Linked DNA regions of Macaca fascicularis. The protein of the gene in region 1 binds, or shares a complex with, the protein of each later gene. Links are inferred from orthologs where the notes say so. Each region holds a gene or a part of one and is shown on either strand. Other genes may lie near its edges. The genes, in order: TCTN1, TMEM237 and B9D2.

Region 1 (3,649 bases):
GAGGTCAGGAGTTCAAGACCAGCCTGGCCAACATGGTGAAACCCCGTCTCTACAAAAACACAAAAGTTAGCTGAAGACCAGCCTGGCCAACATGGTGAAACCCTGTCTCTACAAAAATACAAAAATTAGCTGATCATGATGGTGGGTGCCTGCAATCCCAGCTACTTGGGAGGCTGAGGTGGGAGAATCGCTTGAACCTGAGAGGCGGAGGTTGCAGTGAGCCGAGATCACACCACTGCACTCCAGCCTGGGCAACAGAGCAAGACTCTGTCTCAAAAAAAAAAAAAAAAAAAAGGCCGCAGCAGCAGCTCTATCACTAGTTCTGACAAGTTACTTTCCCGTGCCTAAGTTTTTCTCATCAGGTAAATGGAGACAATGGTGTATCCTTCCCAGAGGGGTGCATGAAGTAATGCCTGAAAAGCTCTTCACAGTGCCAGAACATGAAAAATGCTCAATGGTAAATTTTATATTGACATGGGAAGATGCACATGACTTACCACTGAAAAAGGAATTTTCTAGAACAACATGGATAGCTATAAATCCCACTTCTGTACAACACCATATATACATTATAATAGACATATTTAAAAATCAGCAAGAATACACACCAATCTTTTCAAAGTGATTTGCAGTATGAATTTTAATGGATACAGGGATCTTTCAACTTTTACTTATATGCCTCTATACTTTGAACTTTTAGAACTATTTCTCCACATCCTCTCCAGCACCTATTGTTTCCCGACTTTTTTCATACTTTCCTTTTAAAAAAAGTTAAGGTTCCAAAAAAGTTAAGGTTCATTCAAAGTTAATATGTGTTGCATTTAAAGATGTACTACTGAATAGACATAAAACAGCACACATCTTCCAAAATCCGTAAAACTAAATACAATTTTGAGAAGATGACCAGGTATCCAACTAATCTACTCCATGGTCTCAGCAACGTGCCTCAAGCATTTTGCTACATCTTTTAAGGTTGAGGAGAACAAAGAACTCTGAAGAGACAAAATACAAGTTTATCATAGAATAAACAACCTTAAATCCTCTATTCAGAATTCAAATACTCAGTTTTGTTTTATTTTTATTATTATACTTTAAGTTCTGGGATACATGTGCAGAACGTGCAGGTTTGTTACATAGATATACACATGCCATGGTGGTTTGCTGCACCCATCAACCCATCATCTACATTAGGTATTTCTCCTAATGCTATCCCCTCCCCAAGCCCCCCACCCCCCAACAGACCCCGGTGTGTGATGTTCCCCTCCCTGTGTCCATGTGTTCTCATTGTTCAACTCCCACTTATGAGTGAGAACATGCGGTGTTTTGTTTTCTGTTCCTGTGTTAGTCTGCTGAGAATGATGGTTTCCAGCTTCATCCATGTCCCTGCAAAGGACATGAACTCATCCTTTTTTATGGCTGTTTAGTATTACATGTTGTATATGTGCCACATTTTCTACATCCAGTCTATCATTGATGGGCATTTGGGTTGGTTCCAAGTCTTTGCTATTGTGAATAGTGCTGCAATAAACATACAAGGGCATGTGTCTTTACAGAATGATTTTTAATCCTTTCAGTACATACTCAGTAATGGAATTGCTTGGTCAAATGGTATTTCTGGTTTGAGATCCTTGAGGAATCGCCACACTGTCTTCCACAATGGTTGAACTAATTTACACTCCCACCAACTGTAAAAGTGTTCCTATTTCTCCACATCCTCTCCAGCACCTATTGTTTCCCGACTTTTTAACAATCGTCATTCTAACTGGCGTGAGATGGTATCTCATTGTGGTTTTGATTTGCATTTCTCTAATGACCAGTGATGAGCTTTTTTTCATAGGTTTGTTGGCCGCATAAATGTCTTCTTTTGAAAAGTGTCTGTTCATATCCTTCACCCACTTTTTGATTGGGTTGTTTTTTCCTTGTAAATTTATTTAAGTTCCTTGTAGATTCTGGATATTAGCCCTTTGTCATATGGGTAGACTGCAAAAATTTTTTCCCATTCTGTAGGTCACCTGTTCACTCTGATGATAGTTTCTTTTGCTGTGCAGAAGCTCTTTAGTTTAATTAGATCCCATTTGTCAATTTTGGCTTTTGTTGCCATTGCTTTTGGTTGTTTTACTCATGAAGTCTTTGCCCATGCCTATGTCCTGAATGGTATTGCCTGGGTTTTCTTCTAGGGTTTGTATGGTTTTAGGTCTTACATTTAAGTCTTTAATCCATCTTCAAATATTCAGTTTTAATTTTCATGATCTTTGATTTGTAGGCATGAACATTAAGTTATTTAGTCTGTAATATCAACTCTGTCTCAGCGAAGACAGTTTTGCTGGTAACCTGAAAATTAACTTACAAGGACAAGACATTTGTGATGGGATGAAAAGAATCAATCAAGTTCAGGCTCACCTTATATTTAGCAGTAGTAGGAATATCCAGTTTGGTTGTGAAGGAAATATCTGATTCAGCATTCAATGTAAAACCATCAGATGTTTTCATCAATGTATCAAAATTATTTTCATCAGGTACTTCTGGATTAATAAAGGATAATGCAGGCTTATCTGTTTTTTTTTAAAAAAAAAAACAGTATTTTAAATCGGTATAAAATATATGTATAGTATGTATGATATATATAAAGGTTTTGGAAACAGTTTTTAATAGCATTAAGGCTGATGTAAAAAACAAATAGTGTCTTGGCTGGGCACATTGGCTCACACCTGTAATCTCAGCACTTTGGGAGGCCAAGGTGGGCGGATCGCCTGAGGTCAGGAGTTTTGAGACCAGCCTGGCCAAATGGTGAAACCTTGTCTCTACTAAAAATACAAAGATTAGCCAGGCATGGTGGTGCACAACTGTAATCCCAGCTACTCAGGAGGCTGAGGCAGGAGAATCACTGAAACCCAGGAGGCAGAGGTTGCAGTGAGCTGAGATGGCGCCACTGTACTCCAGCCTGGGCGACAGAGCAGGACTCCATCTCAAAAAAAAAAAAAAAGTGTCTTTTTCCATATTCACTTCTCCCAGGAATTTTTAAAGCTTATTCAATAAACAGGACCTCCAGACTCAGCCTGCTTCTTCTAATAATGGGGAAGTAATAGTTGATAGCATCTACAAGTGAACAGCACAACAGAAGCCGATAATAATCTGTCTATTTCTCTAGCCCATGGACTGATGAGTCTGCTGTATCAACCTGTAAGGAGAAGCTCTCTCCGGATGCCTGTGGGAATGAAAGAATCCGATTTCTACTCTCACACAGCCACTGTGAAAGTCCTGGAGAAAAATGTGCTGTGTACAGAAGAGAGAGAAGGGAGCAGGCTGGCATGTTCACTGGGCTGGTGTTACAACAGAGAACCTGAGTCACTGGCCAGTTATCACTTCAGACTACAAACCACACAGAGCATCTGTCTGTTCAATCACAAGAGAATAAAACCAAAATCTGTAAAGATATTCTGAAAATATGACAGAGTTTAATTGACAAATAAAAGCATAAATGTGTCTCTGATCTTTGATATCCTGATAACATTTTACATGCACTTGTACTTTGGATCTAGAAATATATTTGAGCTAAATGCTCAGATAAAAATAAAGATCCTGTTTTCATGCAAATATTCTTAGTAAAAATAAAAGAAAAAAAGGAAATAGAAACCACAGGTAATGTTCA
Region 2 (4,195 bases), on another chromosome or scaffold:
TCTGAGGAAACTATTCTCACAAACGAAAGATCAGAATTCTGATTAAAAAAAAAAAAAAAAACACTAAAACAGTTAGAAAGGGAATGGATCCATTATCCTACCATGATGATATTCAGGCTTTTAAATTTAACATTCAATTTTAACTGCTATTCTTATAATTCAAGGATTTTTCACCTTTAAAATTTCAGAAAATCCCTAAATTTTTCAGAAGAGTTTCCAGAATCATTGTAATTTTGCAATGATACTAGTTAATTTTTCTACTGTCTTCGTTTTCCATTTTTAAAGCTCAATAATGAAATTACTGTAAATTATGTTTACCTTGGCACAGGTGGAAGGGCTCGTGGAGGACGCTGTGGGGGAAAAAAAGAAATTTGCTTGTAAGTAAAAGCCTAGAGCATCTTTACTTCATGTATCCCAAACACCATAAAGCTATTCTTTTTTTCCTTTTTTTTTTTTTTTTTTTGAGACAGAGTATTGCTCTGTGGCCCAGGCTAGAGTGCAATGGCACGATCTTGGCTCACTGCAACCTCCATCTACTGGGTTCAAGCAATTCTCCTGCCTCAGCCTCCCAAGCAGCTGGGATTACAGGCACCCACCATCATGCCCGGCTAAGTTTTGGTTTTTTAGCAGAGATGGGTTTTGCGATGTTGGCCAGGCTGGTCTTGAACTCCTGACCTCAGGTAATCCGCCCACCTTGGCCTCCCAAAGTGGTGGGATTACAAGAGTGAACCACTATGCCCGGTGAAACCACTTCTTTCAAAAGTCTGTTGTTCAGACATGACAGAAAAATATAATGGATCGGACCAGGATCTTCAAATCTTTTGATAATCTTGTTCATTAGTGAAACCTGGGAGGTACTGATGAGAAACATGGGCAATTTAAAATTTGTTCTCCCATTCTAAATTTCATATAAAATTATTTCCTTCCTACATTCCTTTCTATCTCTAGGCCAGGCCCTTTTCTAAGCATTAGGAGTACACTAATGAACAAAACGGAGAGAACTCTGCTTTTATGGAACTTACATTCTAGTGGTTATTAGAAACAAGGTTAAATATATATAATATATACTATATATTATATGCAGCATGTGTAACATATATATGCTATATTTAAGACATATATCTTGTATACATACCTTGTGTATATATACACAAACACAAACACACAAAACGTAATGAATGAAGGAGACTGAGTGCTACTTTTGTTAGGGAAAGTTTCTCTGAGATATTTGAGCTGAGACCTGAATGAGAAAGGAGCAACCGGAACAAATGCAAAGATTTTTAGGTTAAATTGGGCCTGGAATATTTCAGGTAAAAGGACAGCAAGGCTGCCGCACAATTGCCAAGGAGGTAGGCAGGAGCCAGATTTAGTTAGGGCCTTGCAGACCAAGGCAAGGAGTTTGGATTTTGTTTTAATTCAATGGGAAACCAATGGAAGTTTTAAACCACATACTAACACAAATTTTTAAAAGGCCACTTGAATATACTGGGAAGAATGCGTTTTAGGGCAGAAAGAATGGTGGGGGGAACCCTTCTAAACGCTCATTTATATGAATAAGAAAAGTGTTTGCAGTCAGAGAGCATTACAGTTGAGAAGTATTTTCAGAATTAGATACTAAGAGAAATGCCTAGAAGCCAATTTAATGTTCCAAGTATCTCATGCTGCTTGCATAAGACATTTATTCAAAAGGGTTAAATTTTAGACATTTTTGTAGTTTGTCCCATTTAGCAATCCATTCGTTCGAACAGTAGATTAACGCAAGTACTACAAGATTAGGACGAGGCAAGCTCCCGTAATACCATCCAGTAGTCAAAATCACAACTGGAAAAGAATGACAATCACGGGAACGCGCTTGTTCTACAGATGCTACGAAACGCGCGCGATCGATCCAAGGACTCAGTTCACGTAACTGATTTCAAAAGTCCCGCAAAAATGACATTCCACCCACCCAGAGACCCAACCTCTACTCCTCAAAAGTAGGACGGCTCAACTGAAGACAAAAATCCTAACAACTAAAAGTAGCTAAGGCTCGCTTACCACAGGATTCTTCCCCATTCTGTGTTTAGCCGGCCTCGGCAGCCGCCGGCCCGCAAGCACAGGGCGCCCCACCCCTCCCGGCTCTGTCGCGCGCGCAGGCGCAATGCGTCATCGGGCAGCGCCGCCGGGTGGGTAAGTTGGGGTGAGAGACGCGCAGGGACCTGGATTGGCCAGTCCAGACTAGCCCTGCCAAAAAAGGGGCCTCTGAGTTGGGGTAATGTGCCCAGGAGCAGAGATTCGGCGACCGTGGCGCTGCAATCGCAGCTTTCCCGTGGTTTCCTAAGTGGTCGCGGTGATTTGTTTGCGGGGAGCGAGGCGTGAGGGAAGACCTTGGTTAAAGGACTCCGCAGGCAAACAACGATCTTTTCTAGGCAGCTACTGCCCTCTCGGAGGGGGAGTCTATGAGAGGCCTGGCTGGAAGCCCCAGCACCCGCCGGGCGCTGGGCCTCAGAGAAGTGAGGCGTCGTCGTGGCAACGCGGGCTCAGGTACCCGCAAACTTCATGCCAGGCCTCTCTCCCCTACTCCAGGAGTTCGGTCCCGGCCTCGCCTGGGTCTCCGTCCCACTCCTGTGAATGCTGGAGGGGCGGACGCGCGCACCCCATGAGCAAGGCTCTCCCTTAGTGATCCCCAGCTCGTTAGCGCCCCCCCCCCCACACACACACCCCCACCCCGCCAAGTGTAGCTTTTACCCGCCACCCCTCGAGGCCGACGCGCCCCTCGCCGCTCACCAGGTGGCCCTCCTCCAGCCGAGCCCCCGAGTCAGCCCTCATGGTGCTCTCCCCGCGGGGCTTCCCCGGCGCAACCGCCGGCGGCCCGAGCCCAGCTCCCCGCGACGCTGCAGCCTGCGGGACGCCGGGGCTTCGTGGCGCCTGGCGTGGCCGCCTCCCCGTGAGCCAGGTCCCCGCCCGCCTCTGCCCTGCCAAGCATTGCTGGGTTTGGGACGAATGTGTTTACTCTCTAGGACCAACGAGTCTGTGCGGGCCTGGGTGTGTGGATGTGTATTAATATAGGCAATTCTCACATTTTCTCCGATTGCTTACCCTTCATCCCACAACTGTGTAAATCAAATTTGGAAAAACTTTTTCTTGAAGAACCTTAAAATCAAATCCGACCTCACATAAATATCATTACAAACTACTTAATTTGCATAGTTTTATTTGGTTAGGTTTTTTTTTTTTTTAAGATAACTTTCACTTTAAGTAACAGAACTACAAATATTTTGAATCATGCATTCTATTTTACAGTTAAGAAAGAGATGGGAAAGATGGAAGAATGATGTGGATATGGAGAAGAGAATGATGCAGAAGATGAACAGATACAGGGACAGGGAAAGCGCCTGGAAATCTCAAATCTGGGGGAAGAAAGAGAAACAGGACTTTGTAATGGCATCCTAATCTTGTTACCAAACAAACGGGGTTTGTTGCCCTATATGCACAGAAGCCAATATTATGATGCTGGTTTTTTGAGAAAAGTTGTTATTGCGAGTCAACTAACAAGGAGACAGGAGTATAGCTCTAATCTGTCTCCCTGTGCTGGCTTTAAGACAGTATTTTTATTAGAAAAGGTTTAGGGAATGGATTCTGGGATTAGTAAATGATTGGTGGAAGGAAAGAAGCCATCTGGAAAATCTTTTGGCGTTCGCGGTTACCTCTTCATGTCCCTTCATGGGTCGCATGTGCAAATTTTGGAGGGAGTCAGTATGAAACATGGGGGAAGACTCGAGCTGTAATGCCAGCAAGCTCATTTTGTACAGACTTCAGGTAGCCATCCGTGTTAGTCCTAACCAATTTCAGCCAGTTTGCTTTATTTTGTTTTTTAATCTCACAATAGAAGAAGTTTAGGCGTTTTAGCAAATTGTTTTTTATCTGCTGTCCTGCACGCTCAAGAATTTCTGTTAGTCCCTGGTTTAACTCTGAGACACGGTTTCAGTCTTGTGATTCTTCTATATATAGGTCTCCTGGACTAATCCATTGCCTTTTCTAATTTAGGCATGCATGTAGATATTGGCTGTAAGGAAAATTCGTGTTTGTCACACCTCTGATGAGAATAATTTTTTCCTTGTAGGCTGATTTGTAAATAGTGAAGGCAGTGCAGTTTTTTGTAGGTTTTGATTTTAGATGTGAAATGTGCATATTAAACCTTTCTTGCTGAATTAAG
Region 3 (3,649 bases), on another chromosome or scaffold:
TTGAACCCAGATACTTGGTTCCAGAGTCCACGCTTCATAACCCCTACCAGTAGATGCCACAGAGCAACAGTCCTATAGCCACAGTGGCATTCCCTTCCCAGTGGCTGCCTCCCACCCCTCTATGTCCCCGCTGTCACTGCAGGGGCGGCGTGGAAGCTCCTGTCAGGCGTGCGGGAGGGCCAAACGCAGGTGGACACCCCCCAGATAGGGGACATGGCCTACTGGTCCCACCCCATCGATCTGCACTTCGCCACCAAAGGTCTTCAAGGTGGGTACCACACCTGGTCCCGGGGCCAGGCTGAGGGGAGGGGACGAGTAGCCTCTGAGGCCCCTCGGTCTGGGAACACCAAGACCTGTCCCTGCTCCCCATACCACGTGGGTCCCTTTTGCAGCAAGTCTGGCCCTGGAGAGGCTGAGCTAAGACTTTCCCAGGCCTGCTCAATAGGCGATCCCAAGTTTGTAGGATTAGGGCAGAGTCCAGGGTGGAGCGGGAGATGGGAAGGTGGGGGTCAGGGTGGGAGGGAAGGTGGCATTCAAGTAAAGAGACAAACCGAGAGTTTCCAATAAAGAGGAAGCCGGGAGGCAGGGTCTGAGAGAGGCAAGGGCTGTTTCTCCAGGAAGGGGCTCCTCGGCTTGAAAGTAGAGCCACTGCTCAAAGGGGAAATCAGTACTGGGGGAGGAGCGGCATCAGAAAACCTTTTGGTAGGAAATGTGGGTTCCTGAAGATGAGTCGATTCTGAGAAATTGCCTAGGTAAATGTGCCGTATATTTCACCAATATAAAGAATGTTTACCTGGTGCCTGCCCTGTGTCCAGCCTGTGTTGGGTGATGCCAGGGAGACACTGGGGATCAAGGCAGTGCCCCTTAGCCTTCTCCTCACAGAGTTCACCATCCTATGGAGGGGACACGCCTCTCTCCAGACAGTGGCACCTGAGTGGGCAGGACTAAGATAGGCAATTTGGAGAGGCCGTGGGAGCCCACAGGAAGTGCCTGACTCTGTCAGGGAGGTCACAGAGGGCTTCCTGGAGGAGGGGGCTTCTGCGCTTTGCTGTGAAGGGCCAGTGGAAGCTAATAAGGCAGAGGGATAGAAGAAGGTTCTAGGCAGAGGGAGCTACATGTGGAAGACTCAAAGGGGAGAGTGAACCAAGGGTGTCTAGCGCACTGAGGGAGAGCGGGACGGCAGCAGGGAAAGGTAGCAGGGGACAGTTCATGCAGGACCTCGAGTGCCAGGCTGAGGAGCTGAGGCCATCTCCTGAAGGCACTTGGGAGCCAGAGCAGGTGATGGACAAGTGAGATTTCACTTTTTTTTTTTTTTTTTTTTGAGACAGTGTTGCTCTGTTACCCAGGCTGGAATGCAGTGGCAAGATCTCAGCTCACTGCAACCTCCGCCTCCTGGGTTCAAGCAATTCTCCTGCCCCAGCGTCATGAGTAGCTGGGACTACAGCTGTGTTTTACCATACCTGGCTAATTTTTGCCTTTTTTTTTTTTTTTCTTTTAAGTAGAGATGGCATTTCACCATGGTGGTCAGGCTGCTCTCGAACTCCTGACCTCAGGTGATCCGCCTGCCTCGGCCTCCCAAAGTGCTGGGATTATCGGTGTGAGCCACCGCGCCTGGCCGAGATTTCACTCTTAAATAATCTTTCTGTCCTTTAAGCTGGAGCTGGGGAAAGAAAAACTTTCCGGTGCTGTGCGGGTGAGGTGGGCAGCTCTAATCTTTCAGCTCTTGGGGCCTCCGGTTCCCCAGTGGTGGCACCAGCCTTGCTCTCTCTTTTCTCAAGCCCCCATTTTGTCCATTAGGAAATCTTACTGCCTCTACTTTTGAAATACACCCTAAATCCCACTTCTCACCCTTTTCTCACCCAGCATCTTGATCTGTCCAAGTTCATCTCTCACCTGGACTATGACAGTAATCTTTTCTCTGGGGCCCCCTTCCCCAACCCCCGCTAATCTGCACCCCACATGCAGCTGGAACCCTGTGAACACCTAAGGTCCTGTCTCCGCTCTGCTCAGAACCCTCCAGTCGTCCCCATCTCACTCAGGGTAAAAGCCAAAGTCTTAGCATGCATCACAAGGCTCTCCGCAACCTGGCTGGCACCTCCTTCCCTTCTCCTCACCTCATTCTGCTCTAGCCATGCTATCCCCACCAGGCACACTCTGTCGGGGCTCCGGCCATGCCGTCCCCACCAGACACTCCCCTCTCAGGGCCCTGGCACTTGCTGTTCCCTCTGGCTGGGAACACTCTTCCTCTAGATGGCCACATGGCCTACTCCCTTCCTTCCTTTTAGCATTTGCTTAAATGTCACCTTCTTAGTGAAGCTTCCTTGATCCCCTTCTACAGCCATATCCCCACCCTCACCCTACCCAGCTCTGTTTTTCTCCACAGCAATTACCACCATCCGATCTAACCTATAATTTGCTTATTTACTACATTTGTTGTCTAGGATATCAGCTTCACGGGGGCAGGAATTTTTGTCTGCCATCCATGTTCATGTCCGCCGTGTCCCCAGCTAGCTAGAACAGGGCCTGGCACAGGGGAAGGGGTCAGCATGAGATGAGATGAGATGGAGCTGGATCTCCAAGGGTTTTGACTACTAGACTGAGGAGCTGAACTGTGTTCTGAGGACATGGGCAAAGCTATGGAAGGAAAGATGTTTCCAGATGCCAGGTGGAAGGTGGATTAGAGAGGGGCAAGAAAGAAGGCCCTGGGCCCAAAGAGAGCAGGGCAGGAACATGAGGAGGGAAGGCAAGAGGTGACCCTGACAAGACCCACGATGGTTACCTGGGGACTGGAGGAGCAATGGGCTGCCCTGACATGGGGTCATGGAGGAGGATAACACAGAGAGGAAATTCAGCAGAGGTCTGATTAGAAGGGCCTTGAATGTTGAAGAGGTTGGACTTTATAGTGAGGGCACTGGGGAGCTATGGAAGGATCCTTAGCAGGGGAGTAACATGGATTTGGAAAGATCTCTGGCAGTTGTGTGGGGATAGATGAGAAGATGGGAGTCTAGAAAGGAGGCTGGGTTGGAAACCCTGGGACAGAAACCCAGAAAGGAAAGGACTGGGCCTGGGGTCTCCGGTGAGTATCAGGGAGGGGGGAATCAGGAGCAGGAGTCTGGTCACCACCCATCCCTCCTTTCCCCTCTCCCTGCTTTCCTGCAGGCTGGCCCCGGCTCCATTTCCAGGTGTGGTCCCAGGACAGCTTTGGCCGCTGCCAGCTTGCAGGCTATGGATTTTGCCATGTGCCCAGCAGCCCGGGCACACACCAGCTGGCCTGCCCCACCTGGCGGCCCCTGGGCAGTTGGCGAGAGCAGCTGGCACGGGCTTTCGTGGGTGGTGGGCCACAGCTGCTGCATGGGGACGCCATCTACAGTGGGGCCGACCGCTATCGCCTGCACACAGCTGCTGGTGGCACCGTGCACCTGGAGATCAGCCTGCTGCTCCGCAACTTCGACCGCTATGGCGTTGAGTGCTGAGGGACCCTGTCTCCAACGCCACCACCATCCACACCCTGGACACCCAGTGAGGCACAGTGGTCAGGAGCACGGACTCTGGAGACCATCAGAGCTGGACCCCAGCTAAGGACTCCTGTCCTTGCTAGGACCTCTGGGTCCCTCTGGGCCCAGTTTCCCTATCTGTAAATTGGGGAGAG

The links.
Region 2: TCTN1 (region 1) and TMEM237 share a complex: the UniProt entries of both Homo sapiens proteins name them as parts of the tectonic-like complex. The link is inferred for Macaca fascicularis from reciprocal best matches to the Homo sapiens genes TCTN1 and TMEM237.
Region 3: TCTN1 (region 1) and B9D2 share a complex: the UniProt entries of both Homo sapiens proteins name them as parts of the tectonic-like complex. The link is inferred for Macaca fascicularis from reciprocal best matches to the Homo sapiens genes TCTN1 and B9D2.

What each region holds. Positions count from the first base shown.
Region 1 is NC_088385.1:117,512,585-117,516,233, reverse strand, and holds part of TCTN1 (tectonic-1), read right to left. Parts: intron 2,553-3,649; coding exon 2,401-2,552; intron 1-2,400. UniProt on the Homo sapiens protein: Component of the tectonic-like complex, a complex localized at the transition zone of primary cilia and acting as a barrier that prevents diffusion of transmembrane proteins between the cilia and plasma membranes.
Region 2 is NC_088386.1:97,454,413-97,458,607, forward strand, and holds the start of TMEM237 (transmembrane protein 237), read right to left. Parts: upstream 2,934-4,195; 5' UTR 2,809-2,933; coding exon 2,767-2,808; intron 2,524-2,766; exon of another isoform or gene 2,145-2,523; intron 2,123-2,144; exon of another isoform or gene 2,056-2,122; coding exon of another isoform or gene 2,038-2,055; intron 351-2,037; coding exon 319-350; intron 1-318. UniProt on the Homo sapiens protein: Component of the transition zone in primary cilia. Required for ciliogenesis.
Region 3 is NC_088393.1:48,495,969-48,499,617, reverse strand, and holds part of B9D2 (B9 domain-containing protein 2), read left to right. Parts: intron 1-142; coding exon 143-268; intron 269-3,159; coding exon 3,160-3,473; 3' UTR 3,474-3,649. UniProt on the Homo sapiens protein: Component of the tectonic-like complex, a complex localized at the transition zone of primary cilia and acting as a barrier that prevents diffusion of transmembrane proteins between the cilia and plasma membranes.